7 linked regions of the Coturnix japonica genome follow. Each later gene encodes a partner of the first gene's protein in a complex. Links are inferred from orthologs where the notes say so. Each region holds a gene or a part of one and is shown in the gene's direction. Other genes may lie near its edges.

Region 1 (4,493 bases):
GTCTTGCGTACTAGTCAAATGTTTTTGCTTTTCAGATGGCAGATTTTGCTTTGCTTCTTGATGACGCTGTCTGGGGGAAAGCAGCCCGTTAATTTTCCCATAAGTTACTACAGCATTTGGATCCAAATCAGTATATTCTAAATTCTGTGGAAAAACATGAATGGCACCGTGTTTCAGAAATGCATGAACAGCTGATGCGTTCTGTACGCTGGGAGGCTGGGACTGGCATACTCTAAAAATGGAATCCATGTGAATTAAGTTCAGCAGCTTGTCTTTGAAGGCGCTCATTTCATCCTTATCACACAGAGTCTTTTGTTTCTGTTCAGCTGTACGAGAGAAAATGCTCCCTATGAAATTCCACATATTTGGGAGAACACTTGAGCCAAACGTCACATTTGCATCAGCCTTACTCTGTTCAGGGACTCCTGGGTTTAAGTGAGGTTGACTGGCAAAAGGCTCCTTTACAGTTACGTCTTGCTCCATGCTATTCTTCACAAAGCTCTTGAGTAAGATGTCACCTTCTGTAGAAGGCATGTCTACGACGTTTTCCTCAAGCTCACGCGCTTTGGGGCAGATCAGAAGCTCCGTGCAAGGTTCTAATCTCCCATAGGGGGCTGCTGGCATAAGTGTACCTGAGTATGGATAAATCAGATGAATGAATGCATCCACTCTTGCAAAACAGCTTACTCAAGGCACCAGCAAAGCATTCACTGCTGCTTACCAATTCTGATGTAAACGTGAGTGTGGTGTTCAACCCAAACAGGAAAGATGGCTTTGGGGAATACGATTCGGATCTGGTCCAGAAGATGCTTTTCAAGAGAGGAAGCGTGCAGTTCCTGGGAAAGTGTGGTATCATTGTAAGCTACACACTTGTACAACCTTTAAAATGTGTTTGAACATAGAAGATTCACATCTTTTTCTAATACACCATTTGAAACATAAAATACAATGAAAACCCACAAGACTTAGCATTTGCTTAGGAGCAGAAAAGAACGGGGGATTGCGACAAAAGCTTGTATCAACATTCTCTGTCATTTGCATGAAAATGATGTGAACAGTGGGACAGGTTTTCTTACCAGTATTTCCCAATCATCTGCTGAGAGCGGTTCCACTTCTACTTGCTGACAGGAGGAGACGTGTGAACAGGGCTCCACGAACACCTGATAGAAGCAACATTATTTCTGAATAATTTAACTCCTTAAACACATAAAACCTCTACTCAGAAACTCAAAAAAGGGACCTGCATTTCAAACCTGTTCTCCATCTGCAATGCCAAGCTTCTCTGCTAAATGCCTGTTCATCTCTGCGATATTTTCACCCCGCTGACCTCGATGCCTCATTTCCATCCAGCTCAGGTAGATGGGCTCATCACGGCAGGATACTTTGACAGCTTGGCCCTGTGATTATCAGGCAGATGAAACGAATTACTATCAAATCATACTCAGAAATACTCAGACCCATCTGGGTCCAGGGGCGAGGGGTCCCGGCCCGTTCGGAGGATGCACAGTCACCACAGCGACAGTGCGGGGGGCGGCTGGTTGCCCTGCGCTGTCGCTGTGGTGACTGTGCGTCCTCTCGAGGAGGGCTCTGAGCACCGCCATGATGACGGGATACGATGGGGGGAGGAAGGAGAACCTCTCTCCCACAATCCCCTCCGAACGGGCCGCCCCCATCTCGTCCCCGTACCTGCTGCAGGCGGAGGTGCGAGGCCAGCACGGCGGGCAGGTGAAGGAAGCAGTCCCGGGTCCCGCTCAGCACCACCGTCACCGCGGCGACTCCAGCGGCCCCTCCGCCGGGGTTACCGCTGCCCCACATGCCGCCAGCCGGGTGGGCCGGGCTGTAGTTGCTCGTTCCGCCCGGCTTCTCGGCAGCGCCCACTTCCTTCCCGGAAGAGCCGACCGGAGCCGCGGTGGCGGCCGGGAAGATGGCGGCGGGCGGTGCTGGCGGGCCGGGGGAGGCGTGTAGGCACCACCAGCAGCTGGGAGCATGCGGGTCCAGGGCCAAGTACCGCGAGGGGCGGCGACCCAGGGCCGTCAAGGTGCGGGGTGAGGGCGGGTGGGCTGCTGGAGACTTGTTTAGTCCGCAGGTGTCGGTGCTCTGACATCTGGAGAAGCATCAGCTCCAGCTGATGTTCTGTGATGTGTTCATCCCTGCTTGAGTTCATCCCTGCCCGCGGTGGCTCCACACAGCGGGCAGCACGAACGCTTTGAGTTGTTGTTTTCGCAGTGAGGTAAACGTGGGCATTTTAGAGCATTGAACAGCATCTCCCCTATGAGGAGAGACTTAGGGAAGTGGGTCTGTTTAGCCTTGAGAAAAGAAGGCTGAGAGGGGACTTGATCCAGGTTTATAAATACCTGAGGTGGGGAAGCCATAGTGGTGAGGCTGGTCTCTTTTCAGTAGTGCGTGGGGACAGGACTAGGGGTAATGGGATGAAACTACAGCATAGGAAGTTCTGCATTAATGTGTGGAAGAACTTCTTTACAGTGAGGGTGACGGAGCACTGGAACAGGCTGCCCAGGGAGGTGGTGGAGTCTCCTTCTCTGGAGATATTGAAGACCCGCCTGGACGCCTACCTGTGTGACATGGTGTAGGGAGCCTGCTTTGGCAGGGGGTTGGACTGATGATCTCTAGAGGTCCCTTCCAACCCCTACAATTCTGTGATTGTCCTGTGCTTCTTTCAGGTGTACACCATCAACTTGGAATCGCGTTATTTACTAATCCAGGGAGTTCCTGCGCTGGGCGTCATGAAGGAGTTAGTGGAGCAGTTTGCCTTGTACGGAGCCATAGAAGAGTACCATGCACTTGATGAATATCCCGCAGAGCAGTTCACTGAAGTTTATCTGATAAAATTCCAGAATCTGCAATGTGCCAGGTATTATACACAGCACTATCTGCCTTTTGTTGTTTTAATCCTTCACGGCCCCTTTATGTATGATCTACATCATACAGAGTTGAAGTAAAACCCTCAGCTCTGCTAATGCCATTTAGTTTCCTTCAGGGTGGCCAAGAAGAAGATGGATGAGCGCAGTTTCTTTGGGAGTTTGCTGCACGTGTGCTACGCTCCAGAATTTGAAACAGTCCAAGAAACCAGGGAGAAGCTGCAGGACAGAAGGAAGTATATTGCAAAAGCAACAAATCAAAGAGGTTTGTAGTTAAATCTCATGTCCAGTTTTAATTCCAGTGGTTGGTACGTCTTGGTAAAGCCAAAAGCATCCATTGATGAAAATATACTGTGTTTAGCTGTTTTACATTAGGACATTTCTCAGTTATTCCTAGAGATGGACCTTTCAGAAAGCAACGTTTTAGTTAACATGCACTTTAAAGCTTTTAAACCTCATTGTTTCCTTCATTTCTTTTCAAAACGTTACCTGAAATTTTAAGTACTGCCAGGAAACTGAGGATCAGTTTGTTCCCCTTGTTACAGTTCTTTCAGGCATACCCAAAAAGAGAGATTAGTAAGAGAGCCCCCTCCCTGCCCCTTATTTCCTGCCTGTCATTTGGGTCAGTAAGGAACACGAGGAATGGATTGGGCTGACAGGCAGCTTTGCTGCTGAGTTCCCAGGCAGCGCTGAAGGCTGGACAAGCTGTAAAATAAGTACAATGCCAGGCACAGGCTTCTCCTTTCCTATGCTTATGTACTTGGATATCATTATCCACTGCAGGTGCTGCTTAAGCAGAATCACAGGAAGGTGACTGGGAATGAAGTATTGCTGGTATTATTTCTGTCACTGTATTGAACACTTTATGTATTAGAACTAACAGTGGCATAAAATAATGAAGCTGTTTTCCTTTTCTTTTCTTGTTGTTTTAAAGACTGCTTTCTGTTGAAGAAAACAGAGAGGCCTCGGAGGACCAAGTCTGATTCTCAGTGGAGTACCCCAGGATCACATGCAGCCACTCACTGGGATCCATCCTGCTTTCCAGTTCCTCATGGGTTGTCCCAAAACATGGAATATCCTTCTGGCAATCACAGTCAGGACCTTTTGGCTTTTCCCCACTGCGACAACCCCAGTGCTGAAACCTCTGGGAACTCCAGTCAAAGCTCATCCCTAACTCAGAAGGCGCATCCAGGAGGATGTGCTGCACCAGTGCCTTTAATTCAGCAAAGAACAGTTCCAGCTGATAACGGCATTGACAGGTTTATGCCTCGTACAACTCACCTGCAGGAACGTAAGAGGAAGAGAGAAGAGGGTAACAAATGTGCCCTCACTGAAACAAACGTGGACAGTACTGACATCGTTATTGGCCCACAGCTACCAGAAGTACCTCAGGTGGATATGGATGATGATTCACTGAATACATCAGCTATGCTGATTCGAAATAAGCTGAAAGAGGTATGGATTCGTAAAGTTCTGATATTTTCATTTGCACACATCCTTTTAAAAGAAGTACATTTCTAAAACACTTGCCAAAACCACATTTTTTTTCCCTTCCCAAAATATTCAAGTCCAGAAAGTGTATCAGACCTTACTTTAAACACCTCTGCTACGGAG
Region 2 (4,535 bases), on another chromosome or scaffold:
TAGATCTGAACCAGGAACTTGACATTGAATTATCCTTCCTTAGTCCATATGAATCTTAACGATATTTGTCTTGAATTTATTCTGAAACCACCACCATATTCTGCAGCAACTTTAGGTGTCCTTCTTCAGGCACTCAATGATCTTTGGTCTGTGGTGGCTGTGTCCATGCCAAGCATGTTTGGCCTGGGAATCCCCCAGCTTCATCAGCCTTCTGATAGGATTTTCCCTATGAAATTCAGCCTTTGACCCTCCCCACTCCAGTATTTTCATTGGCTTCCCAAAGAGAGTTAGCCAGCTGTGTCTCCTCGGGGAATTACCAGGAACCACAATGAATGAACCACATGCCCATTGTGCCAAGACTGGTGTGCGGATTTGGGTTGAAGAAGCATCTGTCCTAGAAGGAGCCGTGTCTGTACCACAAGGCTTTTTCCTGAAGAGGCTTTTCAGCAAAGCTCCACCTGCATGGGGACATGACTTACACTGGCGAGAAATGCTTCTAGCATGAGTCAGAATCTGGAACTGCAGGGGGAGCAAGGTATATTGGAAAACATACATGAATATAACAAATATTTGGGGAGCAGGACCTAATCTCCATTAGTTGGCTTGCTGGGTGTGAGATGGGACTTTTCTTTGATGCTTGCAACTGTTACAGCTAGGCTGACACTGTATAACGACTGGATAAAGCCTTATGAACAACCAAGAACATGGCTTAATCTTCTTCTTAAAACGGTGTCAAGGAGGCTTTGTCTCCAAACAGAACATCTTTCTTCGTTGTGTTTTCTTCACTTCCTCCCCAGCTCACATGGTTAATGAGAAACTCTTCCTGAACTCACGTAGTGTTGATAATGCAACAAATCTGCTATGAAGAACTGCGAAAAGAAAGCATTGACCTGATGGTATTCCGGTATCTCTTTGTAGCATTCCGAAATGGTATTCCAGAACATCTCTTTGTACACTGCTTTTGTCCTGGAGAGCTACTTACTGGCAGAGGTGTATGTGTGTGTTTTTAGGAATGAATTTTCATGTGCCGCCTCTTGTGTTTGCTTTGCCAAATCATCTGCCCATGGTGCAACACTCTTTACACAAACCCCATCCTTGTATGTTGGCTCCTTTAGGCTGAACACATCACAGAGGTAATTTGGGCCAAGGGGGAATAGAGCCATCTTGGGCCACTGATAAGCTGTGCCAGTAAATGTGATTTTGAAAGGAATCCAGTTGTTGGCAGCTGATTTAGAAACGTCCTTGGAAGCCGCTGGCGTTGTACATGTCACACTGTGACAGGGTTACTGTAGAATTAGATGTTCAATTAGATGTAAACGTTTGGGGGGGGGGGGGTCTTTAAAAAAAGAGTGTAATTACAGGCCTCTGTAAAATCTAAGGATGCTGTAATAAGTAGCACATGTAAGTGAAGTTTTCTTACAAAACACAGATCTTTCTTTTCTCGGATTGCTACAAAGGTCTCTATTTCAAGGAGGTTTTCCTTTCAAGATGCACTAAAAACGAGCCCGATTCACTCAGCAGACGACAGCACGCAAAGTGCCGAGACTGTAAGTTCAAAACAAAACAAACCAACATATTATTATTAAAACAAACCAAGAACAAAACGCCAGTGCAACACCGCACCCTGGCGTTGCAAGCTCCTCAATGCAGCCCGGCGCACCCGATTTGCGTCACTTCCTATGAGGTATAGAGCAGGAGCCGGACGTGTCTCCATCGCTGTCGGTGGGGAGCGGGGAGCGGGGAGCGACGGCGCCATGGTGGAGGTGAGGGCGGTTCAGTTCTTGTGTTACTGAGTGTTGTTGGTAGGAGCACAGAAGATGCTGTGCAGTTCTCCTACGTAACAGTTCTTTTACTGGGTGTCATCACTGTCCAGAGATATCTATAGTTGTTCACCTCCTGTTGTGGAGGTATTGAGTTACCTATTGCTTTTATTGCGACAAGCAGACATTTGCTACTGTAATTCCTGTTTCTTTTTGCAGTTGCATGGAATTTCTAGTTCCCAAGCCCTATTATAGATGTTCTTTATTTGATATCTAGATTTTACAGGACCGTCCTGAGCTAAAAGTTTTGTGTGGGCCCTACTGAGTTAGGGGAGTATGAAGTGTGGCAGAATGGGGCAATGAGTGGGTAAGCAGAGTCCAGGGCAGGAAAGCAGAGCTTAGTGGAGGAAGCCCCAGCTTAATGGAGTGTGGAGGCTGGGCAGCTGAATGGTAACTAGAGCCCGAAGTTCTTAATGCTTCCACTCTGTGTTGCTCCTATTTGTGACATACAGAGCGAGCACAAAGAGGCTCATACTCTGATTATCACATCTCTAATTATTTATTTATTGTGCCTTGAGAGGAAGGTAGGAATTAAAACCTGAATTGCGCGGTCCTAAACAAATATTCTATATAAGCTAATAGCTTTAAGTTCTACTATTTTGGCCCTGACTGAGATATTAACAATTATTAGCTTTTAGTAATGTGTAATTTCAAAAGGACAAGAGGCTTTGTCTTATTTGATCCCAGGATTACTTCTTATAGTAAACATCACTGTTCTTACATAGGGTGACACTGTGCAGAAACTGATGTTCATTTTTATGGAGGTAGTGCAATAAAGGAATGTTTTCAGAATCAGGTACTTTATTGTTTAGGTATAAAAGCATCTAGAAAACATGGAAGATAAACGTATTCATGTATTTTTAGATGATAGTGCAAATTTTTTCTGGCTTGTCATTTCTGAGAAACTGGGTTTTACTTTGAGCAGGCATTGAATTAAAACAACTAATAGATATACTTGAATCTGTAGTTTCTAAGAGGAGCAGTGTTTGATGGGAATAGTGTTGTATCATATGCAAGTCTGAAATTGCTACTCAGTTTCTTTTTCAGATTTCAGTTTTTCATTTAAACGTGGCTAAATTTATTTAAATATGCTTTCCTTTATTTTAGGAAGTCCAGAAGCACTCTGTGCACACACTTGTGTTCAGATCTTTGAAGAGAACCCATGATATGTTTGTAGCTGATAATGCCAAACCTGTACCATTAGATGATGAAAGGTGAGTGCTGTGGCTGAGTTTTACTTTGTTAGCAATTGTTCTATAGAATCATAGAATCACCAAGGTTGGAAAAGACCTAAAAGATCATCTAGTCCAACCGTTCACATTACTATTAGCTCCCGCTAAGCCAACACAACATCCAGTCGTTCCTTGAACACCCGCAGGGTCGGTGTCTCCACCACCTCCCTGGGCAGCCCATTCCAGTGCCTGACCACCCTTTCTGAGAAGTAGTAGTTCCTAATGTCCAGCCTGAATATCCCCTGCCACAGTTTGAAACCATTCATCTAGTCCTATCACTAATGACAAGAAAGAAGAGGCCAACCCCCAGCTCACTACAACCTCCCTTCAGGAAGTTATAGAGAACAATCCTATCCAAATCAGGAGTTTGGGTGTTCAGTACAATTAGCAGTTAAGGGAACTGAAAAGCATGAAGATTGTAATGTTAGCTGTATGAAAGGTTTCCTGTTTTTTAAAATATTTCAAAACTTAGTAGCAGTTCAAAAATCAGGATTTAATCAGGATTATGCTCTGTTCTTCCAACAGCCACAAAGTAAAGATGGCAGTCAAGCTGCGTACTGAGTACGGCTCAGTATTGCACATGCCTACTCTTAAAGAAAACATGAGAGAGAAAGGAGGCCCAGCCACTGGGGATCCATATGGACATAAACAGTATTCCGGAAATGAAGGTTTGTTATTCCTAGTACCATGTTTGTTCTTTGTTTTCACAAGGAAACAGTAGGAGACTTAATTCATTAGTAAAACAAGCAAGTTTTAAGGTAATGCTAGTGTGTGCTATATTTGGGTATTAGAGAGCTAATAAGGGTTGAGGATGTTGTCAAATTGAGGATGCTTTGCACCACCTACTCTGTTGTACTGTTTTGTTTGAATGCGTTATTTTGTTGGTCTTTAGGAGAAGAACTGGAGTATGTGATAACTGGCACACATCCATATCCACCTGGGCCTGGTAAGTAAAATTCTGTGTTTAAATCAGGTATTTCAGAGTTAAACTGAGATTTTTTTTTTAATTATTTTTTTAATTTTTTAATTTAATTTTGTTTTTTTTTTTTTAAGGTGTGGCTCTGACAGCAGACACTAAGATCCAGAGGATGCCGAGTGAATCTGCAGCTCAGTCCTTAGCAGTATCTCTTCCTGCTTCTCAGTCCAGGTACTGCTTTATTACTTCATTAACATTTGCATAATCTACAAGAACTACAAGTCAAAACAAAGTACTTTGAATATTCAGCTTTATAAAATACCTGAAAACCTGATCTAATGGTTTGCAACCTTGCCCATGGCAGGGGGGTTGGAACTAGATGACCTTTAAGATCCCCTCCAACTTAAGCCATTCTGTGATATGATTTTAAGTTGGTCAGATATCATCTTGGTGTATGCAGTGTTCTTTCTTGGCTGTCATTAGAGGCAGTGGACAGAAGGGGGAGAATGGGGATCACAGAATAACAGAATTGTAGGGGTTGGAAGGGACCTCTAGAGATCATTGAGT
Region 3 (2,786 bases), on another chromosome or scaffold:
TGACACAGGAAATCCAAGGTAAAAAATACGCACAAAAAGAGCATGCAACCTATGACAGGTAATTTCTGCAGCCTAATATTGCTCATTTGTAACATGAGCTCTGTAAGTAGGGATTTAAGAATCCAGTTACAGTAGAAGCAACAAAGTTCAGAAGAAATGTCATTTCCCACATAAATACGTTAATTTATTGTCCTTATTTAATTTCTCTCACAAGAGATCTTCATTCATTTTAGGCTACCACAACTTCCAACAATTTTTTTGCACTATTGTACTTGCAGAATAAATGAATATGGTTAAGAATAGAGGAATTTCTTAAATATATATATATGTATATATATATATATAAATGACACCCTTCATTTCATCACCTGTGTGGGCTTTTATTGCAGTTATCGTTTAAAGTAATCCTTTCCCCTTTTTGGAGGGGCAGCTATGTCTTTTTCATTCAAAGAGCCTACAGGAAACGTGAAAACACGGCTATACCTTGAAGGGGACAGTCACTACCACCCTCTATTGGTGCATCTGCCTCATCTACTCTGTTCCTTTTGATCTTGCAGCAGAAACCCACAGCTCCCGTGCAATGAGTACGGAGTCGGTACAGCTCTGACACCCAGCGGCCACTTCACTCTCGACCGGCTCCTGAATTCCAGACAGTTTCAAACTCGGCTTTGACTGATTGTTGCTTAGAAGATAGATAGTTTAGGGTATTATATTGTTTTATTGTTTTGACACTGCTTTGCATGGCCTTGGCTTCATAAGATGCTCATTTATGAAGAAGCGGCCTTGAATCATCTGGATTAGATTTCCGTGGGTTTCTTTGGACTATACAGCATTTACAAAGAAATAGCTTGAAGCATCCTCTCAGAAAATTGCTGGCTACGTGTCTTTCCTATTTAAAAGCAAATAATTAAAGTCAGCACTCCCATGTGACAGCATGTATTGTTCCACACTTATTAAATTTAACATGGATTTTAAAACTAGAGAAGAAAAACTGCTTATTTGATGAATAATAGAATGTATTTCATTCCCAACTTTGACCAAGTTTGATAGGTGATACAAATTATAATTTACAAGTTTTATATCTGATTATTCTATGATCAAGAAAGACTACTTATTTGATGAATCATAGAATGTATTTCAGTCCCAACGTTGACCAAGTTTGATAGGTGATACTAATTATAAGTTTTCTATCTGCTCATGAGTTTAATATCCACATGAAATATTACCCACATCAACAAAAGAAAAATAATTTCCAATGGTAACATTTGATCCTAGCTTAAACATAGCCCTTGTGCCTGCCCAGCTGCAAAGTTTGCCTTTGCCCACAGAATCATTAAGGTTGGAAAAGACCACTAAGGTCAAGTCCATCCATCAGCCCATCCCTGCTGTATCACTATGTCCCTCAGTGCCACGTTCAATTGGCTCTTGGACACCTCCATGGTCCAACATGTCCAATCTAGGACTACACCCCCCGACATGCCTTTATAAACCCGCATATTCTTCCCCCCCCCCCCCCTCATCCGGGATAGTCGGCGAAATCCCCCCCGCTCTCCGTTATGGGAGCGGAAAAGGATCCCTTCGTCCTGTGGCGTCATTTCCTGCCGCCATTTGACTTGCAGGGGCAGCGCCATGACGGACCGCTACACCATCCACAGCCAGTTGGAGCACCTCCAGTCCAAGTACATCGGGACGGGCCACGCCGATACCACCAAGTGGGAGTGGCTGGTCAACCAGCACCGCGACTCGTACTGCTCCTACATGGGCCACTTCGACCTGCTCAACTACTTCGCCATCGCCGAGAATGAGAGCAAGGCTCGCGTCCGCTTCAACCTGATGGAGAAGATGCTGCAGCCGTGCGGGCCGCCCGCCGACAAGCCCGACGAATCCTAACCCGTTGCCCTGCACACCGGCTCCGGGCTGGCTGTGACTCCACACGCCGCGGGGAGATGGTGGGAGCCGCCCCGATCCTCGTGTCCACCGAAGGGAGCTGCAGGGAGAAGGAAGCTCTGTGTAACGCCCTCTCTTGGACACTTTCGTTACGCTCAGTTGCACGGCTGTTCGCCCTTTGTGGTTTTTTTTTAATGGGAAATAAAATCCGCTGTCTGTTTCTAACGTGTTGTGTGGTAATCAACAATAGCAGGACACGGGGAAATGGTTTTAAGTTAAAAGAGGGAAGATTTAGGTTGGATGTTTGGGGGAAGTTTTATTCCTAATGGAAAATGTCAAAGTAAAGCCTGGCTAAGGTTGTATGTGAGTTTACCAGTGGCTTTTTTGAAGTTGGTGACCTCAGAATTTCTGAGCAATAAACGCCTCATACTCTTTACCAAGCCTTATAATCTAAGCTGCTGAAGATGCTGCAGTAAGAACAAGTGCATGCACTCCTGAGGTCACATTCAAGCCATAATATCCATCTGAAGAACTCAGGAATAGATTTTGTTGTTGCATGTACTACAATGAGGGCAAAGATGAAATGATCCTGAATCAAATGTAACCTGCTACATATGTGGGGACTAGTGCTGTTTGCAAGCCATTGTAAACAATGTGAGCAACAAGTGTAAGGCACATGGGCAGAGCTGAACGCCTCCTTCCTCCAGGCCATCTCTATTATATGAGCAAGGCTGCTTTCAGGGAGAAGTCTGAGTTTTGGCTGAGAAATTTGGCTTTCCACTGTGATCTCCATCTCATTTTCCTAAATTTATGTAGTTTAATCTCAGATAAAGTGAAGTGTGAGAGAAATAACTTGTTTCCGATGCAGATGTGCACTGTGTTTGTCACGAAGGAATTTC
Region 4 (4,474 bases), on another chromosome or scaffold:
CACCTGCCTGAGCTGCTGAATGGACCCTCCATCACCCTATGGATGCCCATGATATGGACAGTCCCTATGACAGATGGGTGTCCCATGATATAGGCAGTCCCTTTCCTGTTACTCCTCTTGGGGTACAGGAGGCCCCCATCCCCCTCATTTTATAGGGTTCCCTATTACAGAGGGGTTCTGAGGATGAAGAGGGATGAAGACCCACATTCAATCCTTTGTTATATAGGAATCCCCATTGTGTGGGTATCTTCATCCATCCCATTTTATGGGGTCCCCTCACCTGTCACATAAACAAGCCTCCACTGCACACGTTGGTCTTTATCTTTGGTATATATGTTTATATATGAGTTCCCATTCCCTGTTATACAGCTGTCCCTGATGCAGCAATATCCCAATTCCCACAGTGCTCCCCATTCCATCCTCACAGCTACAGGTGGGATCCATACACACAGATAACGGTGACTGAGTGCCACCCCATCACACAGCACGACCCTCCTCACCCCATTACCCCCCTCAACACATTATAAGGAGGGAACCCCCATTGCCACATATGGGGGATTCCCTTTACACAGGGTCCCCATAGCCCCCTATGGGGTTCCCCATCATTACACAGGCCGTCACCCCCATATTAACCCCCTCAACACATTATAAGGAGCTCCCATTGCCACATATGGGGGGTTCCCTTTACACAGGGTCCCCATAGCCCCCTATGGGGCTCCCCATCATTACACAGGCCATCACTCCCCCATTACCCCCCTCAACACATTATAAGGAGCTCCCATTGCCACATATTGGGGGGTTCCCTTTACACAGGGTCCGCCATAGCTCCCTATGGGCGTTCCACCATCATTACACAGCCTCACCCCCCATATTAACCCCCTCAACACATTATAAGGAGCTCCCATTGCCACATATGGGGGGTTCCCTTTGCACAGGGTCCCCATAGTTCCCTATGGGGTTCCCCATCATTACACAGGCCGTCACCCCCCATTACCCCCCTCAACACATTATAAGGAGGGAACCCCCATTGCCACATATGGGGGGTTCCCTTTGCACAGGGTCCCCATAGTTCCCTATGGGGTTCCCCATCATTACACAGGCCGTCACCCCATAGAGACGCCCCACGACCCCCCCTCACACCTCGGCCTACACCTCAGGCCTCCCCCCTGCCCCCACACGGGGGTCTCATCCCCCCCACACCCCCTTTAGGCCCCGGACCTGGACGAGCAGCTTGACGTAGAGCAGGGGGTGGCTGACGGCGGCGAGCCCAGCGCCCAGAGCCACGAACAGCCCCTCGGTACCGTCGGTTCGGCCCGGTCCGACCCCAGGCCCAGACCCGCCGCCAGGGGGCGCCAGCGCCACCGAGGGCAGCGGAGCTTCGCCCGCCATGGCCCCGCCGCCGCCACCACTGCGCATGCGCCGCCTCTTTGCGTATTGGTGGGCGGGATCTTAATGCGAGACAGCACTGGTGGGATCTGCGAGCAGTAGAGACGCGGTCCTCCCGCTTTCCTAGAGCGGCAAGTCTTCCAGCGTCCCTTGCGCGTTCCCGCCTTGCTCAGCGGCTTCCGGTGTTCTCTGCGACTTCCGGCGGAGCTTGTGGTGGCGGCGGGCAGGGAGTAGCCATGGCGTATCGAGGGCAGGGCCAGAAGGTGCAGAAGGTGATGGTGCAGCCCATCGTATCCTTGTCCGGAGGGGCAGGGGACGGGCCTGCGGGGCCTATGGAGCCTATGGGGCCTATGGGGCCTATGGGGCCTATGGGGCCTGTGGGGCCTATGGGGCCTATGGGGCCTGTGGGGTCTATGGGGCCTATGGGGTGTGTGGCCCTATGGGGGAATCTATGGGGCCTATGGGGTCTGTGGGGCCTTTGAGGCCTATGGGGCCTGCGGGGTCTCTGGGGCCGAGTGGGACCTTTGGGACCTATGGAGCCTGTGGGGCCTGTGGGGCCTGTGGGGCCTGTGGAGCCTATGGGGTCTATGGGGCCTGTGGGGCCTATGGGGTCTCTGGGGCCTGCAGGGCCTATGGAGCCTATGGGGTTTCTGGGGCCTGTGGGGTCTCTGGGGCCGAGTGGGACCTATGTAGCCTGTGGGGTCTATGGGGCCTATGGAGCCTATGGCGTCTCTGGGGCCGATGGCGAGTGGAGGGTAGGAGCGGCCCTGCAGGGCCTTGTGTCTCTCTGGAGTTGTTCCCGTCCTTAACGCTGCTCTACAGAACCTCATCTTCCGCTACCTGCAGAACGTGAGTACTGGGGCCGGGGCAGGGCTGGGTTCGCCTTTGGGTTTGTAACTTCTTGGCTGCTTTTGGAGCCCATCGGCTTCAAACGAAGAACTGGTGCTGTTTGGGAGCATAAGAGCTGGCTCAGAGATGAGCGTTCTCCCTTTGCATTAACACCTTTGTATGTTGATTGTGCCCCTGTGTGTGTAACACACACTCAATAACCCACACCTACAAGGTTCTGTGTTGGGAGTTGCTCTTTGGGGTGTTTCAGAGCTGCAGTGGCTGTTGGTTGCAAAGATTTCTCACCACATTACTAGCAAGGCTTTCTTAAATGCACAGAAGCAAAGACCAGCATTGCTTGAAGCATTTCTTTTCCAGTTTATTCACCCTGATTGTTTTGCAGAGGTCCAGGATCCAGGTGTGGCTTTATGAGCAGGTGAACATGCGGATAGAAGGCTGCATCATTGTGAGTACCAACATGTCCATGTGTTACCATTGGCTTTCCCACGTTCATGAGTCTGTGTGCTACCAACTGAGTGTTTTTGCCACTGATTTTCAGGGCTTCGATGAATATATGAACCTGGTGCTGGATGATGCAGAGGAGATTCACTCCAAAACAAAATCAAGGAAGCAGCTGGGTATGTCAACGTGTTATAGCATGAAAGGTGGTTGGGTGAGCCTTGCTGGTAGCAACACTTAAAGGTGGAAAGCACATGCCAGGTGTTGGTTTGGGAGAGCATTGGGCAGGTGCTGGCTCAGTCTTTGTTCCTGATGTTTGTTAAAGGTGATGATTTTGCTGAATGTAAAGGAGAATCTCCCTGTGCCTGAGACCAGTTGTTATCTTTTAAATGCTGTCTTTGTACAACTGAGGTGTCTGGAGGAGTCTGGTCCAAACTCCTTTGGGCTGTTTCTAAACTTGGTAGCCCTGAGCAATTCTCGTACCTGCTGGGTCAACTCTTGGCCAAAGCAGGAGCCACCTGACTGGTGGTATTTACTATTTACCGCTGCTGGAGAAGATAAAGCTGTCTGTGATGAGGGGATGCGTTGATTCGGATTGAGTTTATAGCAGGGACAGTGTTCTGCTGGGGCTGAGATGGTGTCTGAGAGTTGGGAGTGGATTATGAGTATGGACCCTGCCCTGCTATGCTTTCCATATGGGGCTGCCAGCAGGGATAGGACTCATTGCAACCCTCCCCCTCTATAATAGGGGCATCTTCTTGCAAGCATCTCCTGTTGTGGGATAATATGTGAAAACATGAGGTATTCTTGGATTCTGGGATCTCTCTAATCCCCCATTTCCTTTCTGTGTTGCAGGTCGGATCATGTTAAAAGGAGACAATATCACTCTTCTACAAAGTGTTTCTAACTAGAAATCGCTGTTCTTAGGGCAGTGATTGCAGTTCAGAATGGTTTGGAGTGAATGAAGAAGGTGCAGTGGGAGATCTACCCCTGCTGGTAGATAGAAAGTTACATGTAACTGGCATTGCATGCTGAGCTCAAAGTCCCCTCCTTTTGTAGGAGTGATTTTTTTTGTAGTCTGAAACAATAAGGGATGTATTTCCCAAATAAACATTTTTCACGTTGTCTGTAAACGGAAATCTGCATGGTTTTATTCTCAGCTTTCTATGCTTGGAGAAGGCAGAGAAATGTACATCAAGTGATTTGCTGTTGGTCCGATAAGTTCCTGATAGCTCTGTGCTTTTTGGGTAGTTACAACATGAGACAGGACAGGCTCTGGTGTCACTGTCAGGCTTGAGCATGCATGGCTCTAATTAAGTTTGTTAGAGGTTCTACGTGCAATTACCACCCTTTGTTGTCAAAACAGCTGGTTCCTTGGGTGCTTTCTGGTGGATCAGTGGGTTGGTGATGGATTTGAGGCTGTGATACAGTGATCCGACATCACAAACTATATTAATAGCTGTACTTTGGTAAAATATCATCATTAGATAGGGCAGCTGGTTGGGATTAAATCTATAATTTCTTCTTTGGGCAGCATCTCTGCATTAAATCCTAGTGCTGGGATGTCAGATGTGGCTGGATTTTATCACTATTATCCATGTAAGGATCTGTCCTATTTAAGTTTCCATAAGTGAGCTGAGTTTCTTAGTCCATCAGCCAGAGATCAGTTCCCTTTTGCTTGGATGAGCAATCCCCTGTTTTTCTGTTAATCATTTTTCCTTTTGTGTGGATATGGAAAACACCGTACAGGTATGGAGTTGGGGAGAGCTTATTTGCCAGGGGATCTGCTGCCTTGTGTTGC
Region 5 (3,886 bases), on another chromosome or scaffold:
CCTGAAAATGTTCTTCCTTTGGATTTGAGTAATACCGTAATACCATACTATTACAAAGTTACTGAACTTCTGGTTATTTTACATGACTCAGGATTTCTGCCAAATGAAGCAGTTAACTACAATAATGGTTTTACAAGAATTACCTGTAATGCCATTACTTTAAGAAGTGCTTTCTTTTTCTTTTTTTCTTTTACTATTGGCTAGAGCACTAATTTCTGCAGTAGTGATGAGTATTAGGCAATACTTAGAAAAAGGGAAACATTAGCAAAAGTTAATTTATCTTAGATTGTGTTTCTGTTATTAGCGGAGTAGCTTCGAAACTTTTTCTTCAGATTTTGTTAGCTGTGTTTTCCTATGTGCTTTGATTTTGTTTTTGTTTTGTTTTGAAATAATTTTGTTTGCCTATTTGTATTATTATAGAAAGTAAGAAGAAAAAGTAGACTAAAATATTTTTTCTGCTCTAAAGAGAAGTTTAAAGTCTTGTTACTAAGATATAAATTACTTTGGTTTTATTAATGTTTGAATTTTTAATTTATTTGAACTCTTTGTTTTTTGTCAGTGTGTGTTAATTTATGGTAGTTACATACTTCTTTTTGTCTTTTCCAGGATGAGTTCCATTCACGATTGCGATTTAATCGAAGAGGACTTGTTGCTATGGCAAATGCAGGACCCCATGATAATGGCAGTCAGTTTTTTTTTACATTGGGCCGTGCAGATGAGCTTAATAACAAGCACACGATCTTTGGAAAGGTCTGCTACACAGAGTAGTCTCAGTTTGAGTTTGATAGAAGCATATATATGTTCTTCTATTATTGAATGTTCTTGTAGTGTTGTTTTTGTTAGATATCTGTACTTACTCCCTTTTAAAAGTCTTGTATGCCTACAGTATTTCCTGTATCAATTGTATTTTCAGATTGTCTTGTAATAATTGCTTTGCGTTTTGCAGAAGTACTTAAGTAGTTTCAAACTTTTCCTGTATATCTGATAGGTTACAGGAGATACAATATATAACATGTTGCGGCTAGCTGAAGTGGAAGTTGACAAAGAAGAAAGACCACTCAGTCCGCATAAGATAAGAAGTAGTGAGGTGGGTATGCTGTTCTTTAAAACTTGATGTTTTTTTTGTATTTCTAAGAAAACTGGGATCTGGTGTGAAAACCTGGTGTGTCTTTTATATATTGTTTTTAAAATACTGAATCATTGGATCATTTAATTAAGAATGCTTATTAGGGATGTGACTAAAATATTCTTTTTTTAATAGGTTTTGTTTAATCCATTTGATGATATTGTTCCAAGACCAAATAGAAGGCTGAAGAAGGACAAACCAGAAGAAGAAGATAAAAAGCCCAAAGTAAAAGGCACAAAGTAAATACATACAGCATGAGCCATAATTAATCTTTTACTTTCAAATAGCAGCTTGGTTGTTCTTTATTTGAAACAAAGATTTAACCAAAATGCAAGAAGAACGTTCTCTAATGTTAGACCTAACCCTAACTGCTAAGAGATCATAGAGATTAATTGCTTTGAGTAGTTACTGTGCTTTGAGTAGTTTCTGTGCAAGGGAGAGTGTAAGCCATGGGCAAAAAGAATATGCAATCATTTGTGACTGAGATGATGCAGAAGTTAATACATATTAGTAACTTGGGTGCAGTTCTTTTAGATTTTTAATTTATTTTATCAGCTACCACTTTTCTCCTATTAAAATGTTTTTAAATTTCAAATGCTTTTTAAATGCATTCATTTATGAATGAAATTTGGTATATTTACACATTTATTAGACAGGAGCAGATTGTATTGCAACTAGCTGTTTCTAAGCCAGTGCAAAAATAACTAAAAAAAAAAAAAAAAAAAGCATTGAAGATCACAATCTCTTCTAAATACATTTGTGAAATTGTATTTGTGGTTGCTGCTTTCCTGAGCTGTTGTGTCTTGAGAATTTTGTGTTTACTGCTGTAGTGTTGCTGTATTAAAAAACAGTAATAATAAAGTGATCTTGGCATTTAAGTCTCTGGAAGCTAGTTATGGCAGAATTTTATATTCAGTCTTACCATTTTCTAGGTAAGTAACTTTAAAGCATTCTAGTTTGTAATTGCCCTGTCAGTTCCATCTCAGTTGTAGAACAGGAATGTCCCTCAACACTGGTTGTTTGTTGAATTGGTATGTTTAGCAGGAAAAATAGTTAAAACAAGATTTCAAAGAAAATGGAAGTTGCATGTTTGAAGTTTATGAAATGTTAATAAAGAGTTTTAATAGAAAATGTATTTTTTCTCTTCAAGAAATTTTAATCTGCTTTCATTTGGGGAAGAAGCTGAAGAAGAAGAGGAGGAGGTCAACAGAGTTAGTCAGGTATCATACCAATATCATCCTCATCTTGATTTTCAATTTAAGATTATCTTTTTTACATGCTTACGAAAAATTTTAAAGTTCTTTGTATTGTTTTTACTTTCAAGTTTTGAACAATAATACTAGAAATTACCTTTATTTTTATAATTCTACTATTTTGATTTCCAGAAAAAAACGTTTTAATTTTTCTAGTGTAGAAGGTGCCTTCAGTTACTGCATGGTGGTGTTTATAGAAATATAAAAATGGTTCCATGTTTCATAGTGTAGAGCTATTTCTGCTGTCTAATAAAGTGACAGGTACTTTTTTTTTTTTCACTTAATTACAAGGATGTCTTCTGATGGTAAAGCACTTGAGAGTTGAAACACGTAAACATCATTATCAGGAAAATCTTAGTTCTATTTTCTTATGTGAGTATATTCTGTACAAAGAATAAGTGTTATTGTGGGAAAATCATCATGTTATTGTAATTAATTGTTACACATGAATTATCCGAATTCACAGAACTTGGGTGGCATAGGTAGTCTTTAATATTTTCTGATTGGACTTTCCCACATTTGTTTAATTTTTAATTTGTTTTTTGCAAATTGCCATCCACATTTCTACTATTTACCAAATTATTTCTCTAGAGTTCCAGATGTTATAACTTATTTGTACCATCCAAGTACATTTTTCTGTTAGTGATGAGACTACATTATATTAAATTCTGTGCAGTTATAAAAAAATTATCCTCAACCCTATAATTAGGTACAGAGGACAACAGTGAATACAGCAATGCACAGTACACAATGCACAAGGTAGTGCCTGTTAGGTTAATAGAAGAGCTTTATCACAGTAGTTTTAATTCTGATGCTTCCCGGTTTTGACTTAACCTGTCTGACTAACTATGCTTACATCCCTTAAGAGCATGTTTGTCTGACATTCTGCCATATTTGTCTGTTTTTCAATATTGTACTCAACTTGTTCGCTGTGTTCTTCTCACTTACCCCAAATACTTGCTCTTCATTTTAAAATTATCTAGACTAAACATCTATTTCCTGACAAGCTCGGTTTTGGTGCTGTCGTGCTGTGAAATTGTTCTGTTGACTTTTTGGGGGTTGTCAAATGTGGTAAAATTACCAACTTAGGGAAATCTGAAAGTAACTAATTAAACAAAGCTACAGGCTTTGTTATGTGGGAGATGAGGCAGACCCCTATCTCACCACAACCTTCTTTCAGGTAGTTGTAGAGAGATGCAAGATCTCCTGGGCCCACTCTTCTCCAGACTGAAAAATTACAGTTCCCTCAGCCTCTTCTCACCTTGTGCTCCAGACCCTTCACCAGTTTTGTTGATCTTCTATGGACAAACTCCAGGGCCCCCATGTTTTTCTTGTAGTGAGGAGCCCAAAACTGAACATAGTACTTGAGATGTGGCCTCATCAGTGCTGACTACGGAGGGATGGATGATCACTTCCTTGCTCAGTTCAACACCACATATTGGGCTTGACCATCCAGCCAGTTTTTTTTATGCAGCAAAGAGTTTATCTACCCAATCCCCCAGTTGCC
Region 6 (4,590 bases), on another chromosome or scaffold:
CACAGTGGGGCATTTTTGCCTAACACTGGATGCAGATACTGAGTGACATATAGCCCAGCAGCTCATCTGCATGTAAATATCACATGGCTAAAATTAATTGCTCTGTCAGAGCTCAAAGAAACCATTTGACTCTGCAGAAACAATAATTCATCCTCAGGGACGAGCTTGTGATAGAGAGCGGCAGAACTGTGTGCTCCTCAGTGCCACCCATGCCCCCAGCACCCTCCTCCCTCCCTTGCTGAGTGCCTTTCAGCTGACATCATGTTGTGGGTGGGGAACTGCTCCAGCACAGCCCCACGGGCAGCAGCTCCCCCAGCCCTCCTGCCCCACTGTAGGCTCCTCTCCACAGGCTGCACCCTGGCCTGGGGCTGCTCCGCCTCCAGGACTCTTCCACTGCTGCACAGTGGGCTCCTCCATGTCTGCATACGGAGATCACAGAATCACAGAATGACCCGGGTTGGAAGGGACCTCAAGGATCATGTAGTTCCAACCCCCTGCCTGGCAGGGCCACCAAACATACACCTTTACTAGATCAGGTTGCCCAGGGCCCTGTCCAACCTGGTCTTGAACACCTCCAAGGACGGGGCATCCACAACCTCCCTGGGCAGCCTGTTCCAGGGCCTAACCACTCTCCTGAGTGAAGAACTTCCCCCTGGTATGATAGAGTGCGAGTGCGCGTTGAGGATGCCTAAAATATCTTTCCCTCTTTTTAATCTCTAAAACATGTCCCCCTTAGTCCTGCTATTATCAGCCCTTTCGAAGAGTTTACTCCCGTCCTGGGAGTAAGTTCCCTTCAGGTATTGAAAGGCTGCAATGAGGTCACCCCACAACCTTCTCTTCTCCAGGCTGAACAAGCCCAACTCCCTCAGCCTGTCCTCATAGGGGAGGTGCTCCAGTCCCCTGATCATCTTCGTTTCCCTCCTCTCGACCCTTTCCAAAATCTCCATGTCTTTTTTGTACTGAGGGCTCCACACCTGGACACAGTATGAGAGATGCGAGATGTGCCTGTGGGCTGCAGGGGGATGGCTCGTTCCCCTGTGAGCCTCTCCTGGGTGCTTAGGAAGGGCCTAGTTCAGGTTCTGTGCTTATTTTTGCAGGGAATTCTTGCTGACTCGTGGATTTTTCTCTGTTGAGAATAGTCACAAGGTCTCTTCCTCATTGCAAAGCCATTGGCAGCCATCAGGAAGCAAAGGCAGACAGTGGAGCAGGAGCTGTGACTGAGCACAAACAGCCAAAGAACCAGCGGGGTGGGAGGCAGCCGGGAGGAGCTGGGATGACTCTGTAAGCACACAGAAAAGCAGCAGCACAAGGGTTCTATGGCAGCACAGCAGGGTGTGTGTACTGCTCACAGTCATACACGACTTTAAAGCACAGCTCACACGCAGTGCTGCTGTACCTCAGGGCGGACAGCAGGTGCCACTCAGGCACCAACAGCGTCTATTTCCACTTCATTATCGAACATGGCGGACTCAATTCCGCACTGAGGTAACAAGTTTTTCCGCCTTCCATCTCTATGGTAGTTCCTCCTTCCGCCGCTCCGCTCTGTGGTGGCTGCGCGGCGCCTTGTGGGTAGAGGGCGGGATGATGGCGGTGGCGTAGGGCCCGGCTGCTCAGCGGGAGGAGACCCCGAGGTCAGAGAAGGGGGATTGAAGGGATTAAATCGGGGCTTCTGAATGTGGAGGGTCGGCCCTGGGGTGGTGGGCAGCCTGGGGGGACACCGGGAGGGAGGTTGAGGCCGTGGGGCGGCCTGGACGGGCCTGGGAGAGCGCCGATGGAGGCGGCTCAGCCGAGCCGGCGTTGTGCGGCACTGACGGGGCTGCTCCAATGCTGCGCTGATGGAACCTGATCGGAGCAAACCCCTGGTTGCCCCCAGCAGCTCAGGCTGCACAGGGCTCATCCAACCTGGCCTTGAGCAGGGATGGGGCACACAGCTCTATGGGCAGCTGTGCCAGGGCCTCACCACCTTTTGTATGTCTCTTATTTAAGTCCTTAGGCTGTGCTTATGGATGTGTGTAGTTTCGTTTAACAGACTGAAGATGGCACTGATGGGTCATCCAGGGTGGTTGGTTGGTTTGATTCTTTTGTTTTGTTTGTTTCTTGGTGGACTGCCCTAAACTTTTGGCTCTATGGTTTGGGTCTGCGTGGCCTCCAGCTGCTTTGTGCAGTGCTGAGCACTTCTTGGCATCAGTTATATGGGAGCCATAGTGGTGAGGCTGGTCTCTTTTCAGTAGTGTGTTGGGACAGGACTAGGGGTAATGGGATGAAAGTACAGCATAGGAAGTTCTGCACGAATGTGCACAAGAACTTCTTTACAGTGAGGGTGACGGAGCACTGGAACAGGCTGCCCAGGGAGGTGGTGGAGTCTCCTTCTCTGGAGATATTCAGGACCTGCCTGGACGCCTACCTGTGCGACGTGGTGTAGGGAGCCTGCTTTGGCAGGGGGGTTGGACTCGATGATCTCTAGAGGTCCCTTCCAACCCCCACAGTTCTGTGATTTCATTATTAGATCCTGTGTTTTTTTCCAGAGGGGAAAGAATTACTCTTCTACCAAGATATAAGGATAGGAGACTGGCTCCTGGCATTTTATCCACTTCTATAAACATGACCTCACATTCTTGATTGAGTCTCTATCATCTTTCAGGCATGTTGGAAAAGAAGCTGTCAGTAAAAGAAGCTCTTAAGCTTTAAGGCTCATGCACCAGTTGATAATTTGTATTGTGTAGTGGGATTTGCTGTTGCTGCAGCAGTTCCAAGAATGACGTAGCTTCTGGTGAATGGCTTTCACTTTAAGTTATAGTAATGACTGTTTTTTGCCCTTGACTCTAGTAACTAAAATGACGACAGCAGCGAGGCCAACGTTTGAGCCTGCAAGAGGAGGGAGAGGAAAAGGTGAAGGAGACTTAAGTCAGCTATCCAAGCAGTATTCCAGCAGAGACCTTCCCTCTCATACTAAAATCAAATACAGGTAAGTATCGTTATTGTCTGTCTTATAGCAAAGCAGCCTGGAGCTGTTTTGTTGTTTTCTTTCTTTGTGATGTGACCAACACTCTGAATTTCTTTCACGTTAGATATTTGTTTGCTTGACATTAAGCAGACACAGAAGCAGGCTTAGGAGATTGAGTGGGTTGCAACTGATTTGGAAGGTTTAGTTTTAGTGGTGTCAATAACTGCTTGTGGAAGGGAATCAGGAGAAGGTAATCTTTACAGATTAAGCATTTCAGGCAATGGAGTGAAAAGAAAAGCATTGGGAACATACAGAGACAGCTGAGCTAGAAAGGTGGTGTGACTTACAAGATGGGATAGGAGGTATGAAGTTGAGTATGTCATATATTGGCAAAGAACCTGGGGAAGAGCACTAAGAAGAGGCAGGGCAATGTGTAACAGCACTCAGGCATTAGTAAGTATTGGAAGAGCTGATGTTAAACACTAGAAGGGTTCTAGAAGAGCCTGTTGCTTTAACTGGTGTGAAAGATAATGGGATTTTATATGAATACTATCCTGTGTTTGGAATGCTTAATAATTTATGTTCTTTTAAGATAGCATGAAATCTGGAGTCAACATGCCACAGGATTTAACTGAGTTGTGTCAGCCTGAAAATAGTCTTTTTTTCTAGCTTAAACTGTTGCTTGGGTTTTGCTTTCTTAGTGCAGATATTTACCCTTTCACTGCTTCCCTTCCACCCATTTGAATAACTTTGAAGGTAACATGGATACGGGAGGTGGGATGTTCAGAGATCACCAAAAGCAACAGCACAAAATGTGCTATTAAGGGAAAAGTGGCTGGTGGTCTGTCTCTTTAAACAGAGCGGGAGTGTGGAGCACCAGTCTGTTGTTCTGAAATGAGTGTGTGGGAAGAAATACATACAGGAATATACGATGTGTGTGTGGTAACGAATCCCTTTGAGTGAGTGTGTATGTGTGTGTGAAGGGGCATTAAGCATCTTAAGTTCATTCTCCCAAATATCAAATACAAAGTTGTCTTTGCTAATTTGCCAAGGGCTGCATAATTGCAAGAAAGATTTGGTATTTCAGTCCCACTCTCCCGTGCCTCTTTGACAAAAGGCCTGGGGGGGATTTTTGCAGCCATGTCAGGGATTCTGAATTCAAGTTTTTAATTGTAAAAGCAAATGAAATGCTTCAGCATAAAGACAGCTTGTGCACGCAGTGTATTTCTAATGACTGGAGCCTGGGTTTCTTTCAGACACTCTTATTTCCAAACCTGAGTTCACAGCAAGGTGAAAGGAATTGCTGCATGTTGTTATTCATCAGTTCTTCTCAAGTCTTGCAGAGAAGTCCAGCATGTTCTAGGTGGAACTTTGTGTGACTTGAATGAAAGCAGCCTGTTGATTTTTGCCTGTGTATATTATATAAAAGAGGGGAAAAGATGCACTTGTGTTTTACTAAAGCGACTGTTGTGCTCATTCCCTCCATATTTCTTTCTTTTCTTTTTCCCCTGCAGTGGTACATTGTCTCTTCTGTCTTATGGGGAGAAAATATTAGAGAGCAGCATGCTCTAGTTTTAATCTTGCAAACCTGGGAGATTTGTTTGCAACAGCGATGTGAGGTGGTGAAATGGCAGAGAGTTAACCAG
Region 7 (4,622 bases), on another chromosome or scaffold:
CATCATCCAGATTGTCAGTGAAGACGTTGAACAGGAACAGGCACACACCCTGCTGATCACTGAAGAACACCCTCTGGGTTTGACCGTCCAGCCAGTTTGTAATGCACTTCATTGCTCGTCCAGCCCAGGCTGTATCAGTTTTTCTGTGGGGATCTTGACAGGTGTCAGAAGCTATATTCATGTGTCCCTAGCCTTCTTTTTGTCCCCTATAGACTTGGAAAAGCCATTCCTGGTGCCTTTAACATCTCTTGTCACATATAGTGCCAGCTGTATTTCTTTCTAAACCACCTCCCCGTGTGCTCTGACATTGTGTCTGTACTCCTCTCAAGTCACTTGTCTCACCTTCCACCTTCCCTGTACTTCCTCTTTGTACCTCTTGGTATTTTTGCTTGACTTCCTCTTTGTTCACATGGGCAGCTCAGAGGTGGAGGCACATCAGTATTGGGTAGCTTTCTTTGGTCCCATTTTCCTATAGGTCCTTGACCCACAGGACTCTTTCAGAGCCACCTCTTGGTTAATGAGTTGGCTTTACCTTCACAGCTGCCCTGCTGAAGCTGGCCCAGCGTAGCAGCTTCCCTCGCTGGCTCTTCTATCACTTGAGTTTTGAAGTTGGAATCTCACGCTTTAAGCTGTGCTGTGTTGCCCCTCCAGCATACACTGGAATGGCTGAAGGCCTCCAGAAGGGCCTAAGCCTGCAAACATGAGACTCCCATCTGTCTGCAGAGGGCACCTTCCATTTACTCTCCCTGATCAGGCTGGAGCTGCACACTGCCCTGTCTCCATGGCTCTCGGCTCTTTAATCCTTATTGTTTGCCTGGTTCCTCCCCCAGACAGAGCTCCATGCAGGAACGCCGCTCTCTTTGCCCTGCCTCCTTTGTGGATACAGAGCATCATTTCAGTGTCCTCATACAGCACAGCATTAGGTGGGTTGGTGTGTTAGTCTGTTCTGACACGAGCAGTGCTGTGTGCAGTTTGACAGGGATGATGGCTGGGTACACCAACATGGGGCAGGTAAGTCACCGGGCTGGGGCCTTTCACCCCTGTAGCACAGCAATGAGCAGAGCAGCAGCACAGCATCCTGCAGCAGCAATGGCTGCTCACGCCGTGTTGTGCCCCATAGGTGCAGGTGTGGGACACGGCCGGGCAGGAGCGGTTCCGGAAGAGCATGGTGGAGCACTACTACCGCAACGTGCACGCCGTGGTCTTCGTGTACGACGTCACCAAGATGGCGTCCTTCACCAACCTCAAGATGTGGATCGAGGAGTGCAACGTTCACGCCGTGTCCCCCCTGGTCCCCAAAGTGCTGGTGGGGAACAAGTGTGACTTGAAGGACCTGATCCAGGTGCCGTCCGGCATGGCTCTCAAATTCGCCGACGCTCACAACATGCTGTTGTTCGAAACCTCGGCCAAGGACCCTAAAGAGAGCCAGAACGTGGAGTCCATCTTCATGTGCCTGGCCTGCCGGCTCAAGGCGCAGAAGTCGCTGCTCTATCGCGACATGGAGAAGCGGCCGGGCCGGGCGCAGAAGCTAGAGCCGTCACGTGACGCCCACGGTAAAAGCGCGTGTCCGTGCTGAGCGCCGACCAATAAAGCTGTGCGGAGCCCTCGGACTCGTTGCTTTGCTTGGCGCGCATGCGCGGCCGGGGCGGGGGCGGAGGCGGGGGGGTAAGGGGGGCGCATGCGCAGTGCGCGCCGCCGCCGCCATGAAGTAGGTTTGGATGGGGGCTGGGTGAGGGGGGGGTGTGCGACCGGCCGGTGCTAACGGTGCTAACGGAGTGCATCGCCCCCAGCCCGCTGACCAAAGTGAAGCTGATCAACGAGCTGAACGCGCGGGAGGCGGAGCTGGGCGTGAGCGAGGCGGTGTCGTGGCACGCCGAGTACAAGGACAGCGCGTGGGTCTTCATCGGTACGTGTAGGCCGCGATGGGGGGACGGGGAGGGAGGAGAGAGCAGGGCTGTGGTAGGCCCTGTGCTGGGCTCCGTGCTGGGCTCCATGCTGGGCTCCGTGCTGGGCTCCGTGCTGGGCCTCCATCGCTGCCCTGTCTCCCCCCGCAGGCGGGCTGCCCTACCAGCTGACAGAGGGGGACGTCATCTGTGTGTTCTCGCAGTAAGTTCCTACCTGCTCCATCCCCATCTTGCTGTGCCCCTCCAGCCCTGCTCTGTGGCTGCTGATGGTGTGTTCCAGGTACGGGGAGGTGGTGAACATTAATCTGGTGCGGGATAAGAAGACTGGGAAGTCCAAAGGGTTTTGCTTTTTGTGCTATGAGGATCAGAGGAGCACCGTGCTTGCTGTTGATAACTTCAATGGGATCAAGGTGAGTGATGGAGCTGTGTGGCTGCAGCAGCTCCTGGAGCGCTCAGAGCACATCAGAGAGAAGCTCCATCGGCTGCTGGCCCCACAGCACACGCTTTGCTGACTACCTGACTCCTGTCCTAGATCAAAGGCAGGACGATCCGAGTGGACCACGTGGCCAACTACCGGACTCCCAAGGACTCCGATGATTTAGATGATGTCACAAAAGCCCTCCATGCAAAGGGCTGCGGAGTGAAAACACCACCTCATACGTCGTCAGATTCCTCCTTGGAGGATGAAGACACGCCAGCCCAAAAGCAAAAAGGTGAAATGCATTTCTGCCCATCTTTGCCCTGGGTGGGAGGATCTGTGTGGGCTACAGGGACTCTTAGCTCAGCGTACAGCAGGGATAGGGATCCTCTTGAAAACAGATGCAACCCGAATGTCCAGGCTTATCCTCTGTGATCTGCGTCACACTGCCAGTATTTATCTATGATCATTCACCCCCTGCCTCTGGAGATCCTTATTTTGCAGGTTATAGTGGCACTCTTCCTGGAGAAAAGGAGTTGGGCTGGGCTGCAGGGATGTTGCAAGGGGGAGGGGGCAGGACAGTGGGGGACAGGGAGAAGAAAGGCTCCAATAAAGCCTTTCTCTACAGAGCTCTGGTGCTCTGTAGCAGAACTGGTGGGGATGATGCTTGCAGGACTGTCCATCTCTAAGGATGACCTTTTTGTTTCAGATAAAGAGAAGAATAAACATGAACGGCAAAAGCAGAGCTCTCAGGCTGCAAAGAGAGCAGCACCTGCCGAAGAGGCACATCCGAGAATCAAGATTAAAAAGGAGAAGGAAGATCCTGGCTACGAGCGATATGCTGCTGGTGGGGGTCAGCAGTCCTGCAGTGAGTCTGAGAGGAAACACGTGAGCAGGACGCAGCGAGATGAGGAAGAGCAGAGACACCAAAGGTCGTCGGGGAGGAGAGGGGAAAAGAGCTCCCAGGAACACAGAGGGCAGAACAGCTCACGGGAAGAGAGAGGAGAGGTCAGCAGGAAGGGTGAGGGACACAGCAGCTGGCGAGAAGAGTGTTCTGAGGGAAGCAGATCCAGGCACCGGCGGGAGAGCAGCAGCAGAGAGCCCCATTCCAAGCACAGGGAGCGTGGATCCACCAGAGATTCCAGCCGTCACTGAGCCCTGGAGTGAGCACCTTCTGGGCCACAGCTGTGCTCTGTGAGCTGCACCGGGAGCCTGTCTGAAGCCTCCTGCTATGGCCCTAAGGGTACCACAGCTGTGTCTCGTCTCACACACACCACTCTGACCGGTTCACTCCTCAGACAGGTTGCTCTCAGTGCTGTGGGCTGTGATGTGGGCTCTGCTGCTGCCTTGCTCGGCCCTTCTGTGCAGTGGCATCACTCAGACGGTTGTGGAGGGGCTCACGGCACAGTGTGGGCAGTGGGGTGCTGAGCAGCAGGATACGGACACCGAAACTGCCCACGTTGTTCAGGGGGAGCGTCCCTGTCTGCAGTGGGGCGGTGGGTGCTTGCAGGCGGGCACGGTGCTTTGTGCCCCCAGCCCGTCCTGCTTCCTTTGTTTATGTGATGGATATCAGAGGCTGCTGAGCCATCGCAGTTCATGGCGTTTTTTGTTTTAAACTCCTTTTAATAAAAATCGATCCTTTAACCAGAGGAGATGACTGGGAGCACTGCTTGTGTCCGGTTGTGCTGTTTGGACTGAGCATTGATGGCAGCTGACACAGAAATGGGGAGCGCACAGCAGTGGATCTGAGCTGCGCTTTGCTCTCGGGGTGGTTCCGGTCGGTCCCGTGCCTGCAGCGCTCTCCCGTCTCCTCCCCGCCGTTCTCGGGCGGTGCCGCTGGATCCCAATTGCGGGCCGAGCTGCCGGGTCCGCCCGGCTGGGGGGCGCAGTGCTTCCCGTTCCGCCGCGCTTCCGGTTCCGGGTGGAGTTGAGGCAGTGTCCGGCCCGGCGCGGCGGCGCGCCCCGCCATGCCATGTCCGCGCTGAACTGGAAACCCTTCGTGTACGGCGGGCTCGCCTCCATCGTGGCCGAGTTCGGTGAGCTGCGGCGGGTACCGGCGGGTACCGGCGGGTATCGGCGGGTACCGGCGGGTACCGGCGGGTATCGGCGGGTATCGGCGGGTACCGGCGGGTACCGGCGGGTATCGGCGGGTATCGGCGGGTACCGGCGGGTACCGGCGGGTATCGGCGGGTATCGGCGGGTACCGGCGGGTACCGGCGGGTATCGGCGGGGCGCTGACGGCCGGTCTCCCCGCAGGCACGTTCCCCGTGGACCTGACGAAGACGCGGCTGCAGGTGCAG

Evidence for each region.
Region 2: RBM48 (region 1) and PLRG1 share a complex: the UniProt entries of both Homo sapiens proteins name them as parts of the minor spliceosome. The link is inferred for Coturnix japonica from reciprocal best matches to the Homo sapiens genes RBM48 and PLRG1.
Region 3: RBM48 (region 1) and SF3B5 share a complex: the UniProt entries of both Homo sapiens proteins name them as parts of the minor spliceosome. The link is inferred for Coturnix japonica from reciprocal best matches to the Homo sapiens genes RBM48 and SF3B5.
Region 4: RBM48 (region 1) and SNRPE share a complex: the UniProt entries of both Homo sapiens proteins name them as parts of the minor spliceosome. The link is inferred for Coturnix japonica from reciprocal best matches to the Homo sapiens genes RBM48 and SNRPE.
Region 5: RBM48 (region 1) and spliceosome-associated protein CWC27 homolog share a complex: the UniProt entries of both Homo sapiens proteins name them as parts of the minor spliceosome. The link is inferred for Coturnix japonica from reciprocal best matches to the Homo sapiens genes RBM48 and CWC27.
Region 6: RBM48 (region 1) and CWC15 share a complex: the UniProt entries of both Homo sapiens proteins name them as parts of the minor spliceosome. The link is inferred for Coturnix japonica from reciprocal best matches to the Homo sapiens genes RBM48 and CWC15.
Region 7: RBM48 (region 1) and RBMX2 share a complex: the UniProt entries of both Homo sapiens proteins name them as parts of the minor spliceosome. The link is inferred for Coturnix japonica from reciprocal best matches to the Homo sapiens genes RBM48 and RBMX2.

The regions. Positions count from the first base shown.
Region 1 is NC_029517.1:20,668,834-20,673,326, forward strand, and holds the start of RBM48 (RNA-binding protein 48), read left to right. Parts: upstream 1-1,397; 5' UTR 1,398-1,599; coding exon 1,600-1,725; coding exon of another isoform or gene 1,726-1,815; exon of another isoform or gene 1,816-1,837; intron 1,838-1,895; exon of another isoform or gene 1,896-1,924; coding exon of another isoform or gene 1,925-2,038; intron 2,039-2,681; coding exon 2,682-2,872; intron 2,873-2,998; coding exon 2,999-3,144; intron 3,145-3,813; coding exon 3,814-4,334; intron 4,335-4,493. Other genes in the region: PEX1 (peroxisome biogenesis factor 1), read right to left, coding at 1-632, 722-836, 1,077-1,160, 1,254-1,397, 1,687-1,815. UniProt on the Homo sapiens protein: As a component of the minor spliceosome, involved in the splicing of U12-type introns in pre-mRNAs.
Region 2 is NC_029519.1:18,056,485-18,061,019, reverse strand, and holds the start of PLRG1 (pleiotropic regulator 1), read left to right. Parts: upstream 1-1,650; 5' UTR 1,651-1,679; coding exon 1,680-1,763; intron 1,764-2,927; coding exon 2,928-3,034; intron 3,035-3,577; coding exon 3,578-3,720; intron 3,721-3,944; coding exon 3,945-3,998; intron 3,999-4,105; coding exon 4,106-4,199; intron 4,200-4,535. UniProt on the Homo sapiens protein: Involved in pre-mRNA splicing as component of the spliceosome. Component of the PRP19-CDC5L complex that forms an integral part of the spliceosome and is required for activating pre-mRNA splicing.
Region 3 is NC_029518.1:41,251,530-41,254,315, reverse strand, and holds SF3B5 (splicing factor 3B subunit 5), read left to right. Parts: upstream 1-1,576; 5' UTR 1,577-1,629; coding exon 1,630-1,890; 3' UTR 1,891-2,112; downstream 2,113-2,786. UniProt on the Homo sapiens protein: Component of the 17S U2 SnRNP complex of the spliceosome, a large ribonucleoprotein complex that removes introns from transcribed pre-mRNAs.
Region 4 is NC_029541.1:2,015,790-2,020,263, forward strand, and holds SNRPE (small nuclear ribonucleoprotein E), read left to right. Parts: upstream 1-1,516; 5' UTR 1,517-1,622; coding exon 1,623-1,676; intron 1,677-2,208; coding exon 2,209-2,235; intron 2,236-2,617; coding exon 2,618-2,680; intron 2,681-2,773; coding exon 2,774-2,852; intron 2,853-3,528; coding exon 3,529-3,584; 3' UTR 3,585-3,806; downstream 3,807-4,474. Other genes in the region: MTCH1 (mitochondrial carrier homolog 1), read right to left, coding at 1,219-1,416. UniProt on the Homo sapiens protein: Plays a role in pre-mRNA splicing as a core component of the spliceosomal U1, U2, U4 and U5 small nuclear ribonucleoproteins (snRNPs), the building blocks of the spliceosome.
Region 5 is NC_029547.1:21,421,574-21,425,459, forward strand, and holds part of spliceosome-associated protein CWC27 homolog, read left to right. Parts: intron 1-606; coding exon 607-750; intron 751-988; coding exon 989-1,087; intron 1,088-1,261; coding exon 1,262-1,365; intron 1,366-2,276; coding exon 2,277-2,346; intron 2,347-3,886. UniProt on the Homo sapiens protein: As part of the spliceosome, plays a role in pre-mRNA splicing. Probable inactive PPIase with no peptidyl-prolyl cis-trans isomerase activity. As a component of the minor spliceosome, involved in the splicing of U12-type introns in pre-mRNAs.
Region 6 is NC_029516.1:165,900,106-165,904,695, forward strand, and holds the start of CWC15 (spliceosome-associated protein CWC15 homolog), read left to right. Parts: upstream 1-1,462; 5' UTR 1,463-1,485; intron 1,486-1,519; exon of another isoform or gene 1,520-1,631; intron 1,632-2,826; 5' UTR 2,827-2,834; coding exon 2,835-2,965; intron 2,966-4,590. UniProt on the Homo sapiens protein: Involved in pre-mRNA splicing as component of the spliceosome. Component of the PRP19-CDC5L complex that forms an integral part of the spliceosome and is required for activating pre-mRNA splicing.
Region 7 is NC_029519.1:1,522,177-1,526,798, reverse strand, and holds RBMX2 (RNA-binding motif protein, X-linked 2), read left to right. Parts: upstream 1-1,654; 5' UTR 1,655-1,703; coding exon 1,704-1,708; intron 1,709-1,790; coding exon 1,791-1,906; intron 1,907-2,054; coding exon 2,055-2,106; intron 2,107-2,184; coding exon 2,185-2,314; intron 2,315-2,436; coding exon 2,437-2,617; intron 2,618-3,031; coding exon 3,032-3,477; 3' UTR 3,478-3,985; downstream 3,986-4,622. Other genes in the region: RAB33A (ras-related protein Rab-33A), read left to right, coding at 1,121-1,576; SLC25A14 (brain mitochondrial carrier protein 1), read left to right, coding at 4,295-4,358, 4,579-4,622. UniProt on the Homo sapiens protein: Involved in pre-mRNA splicing as component of the activated spliceosome. As a component of the minor spliceosome, involved in the splicing of U12-type introns in pre-mRNAs.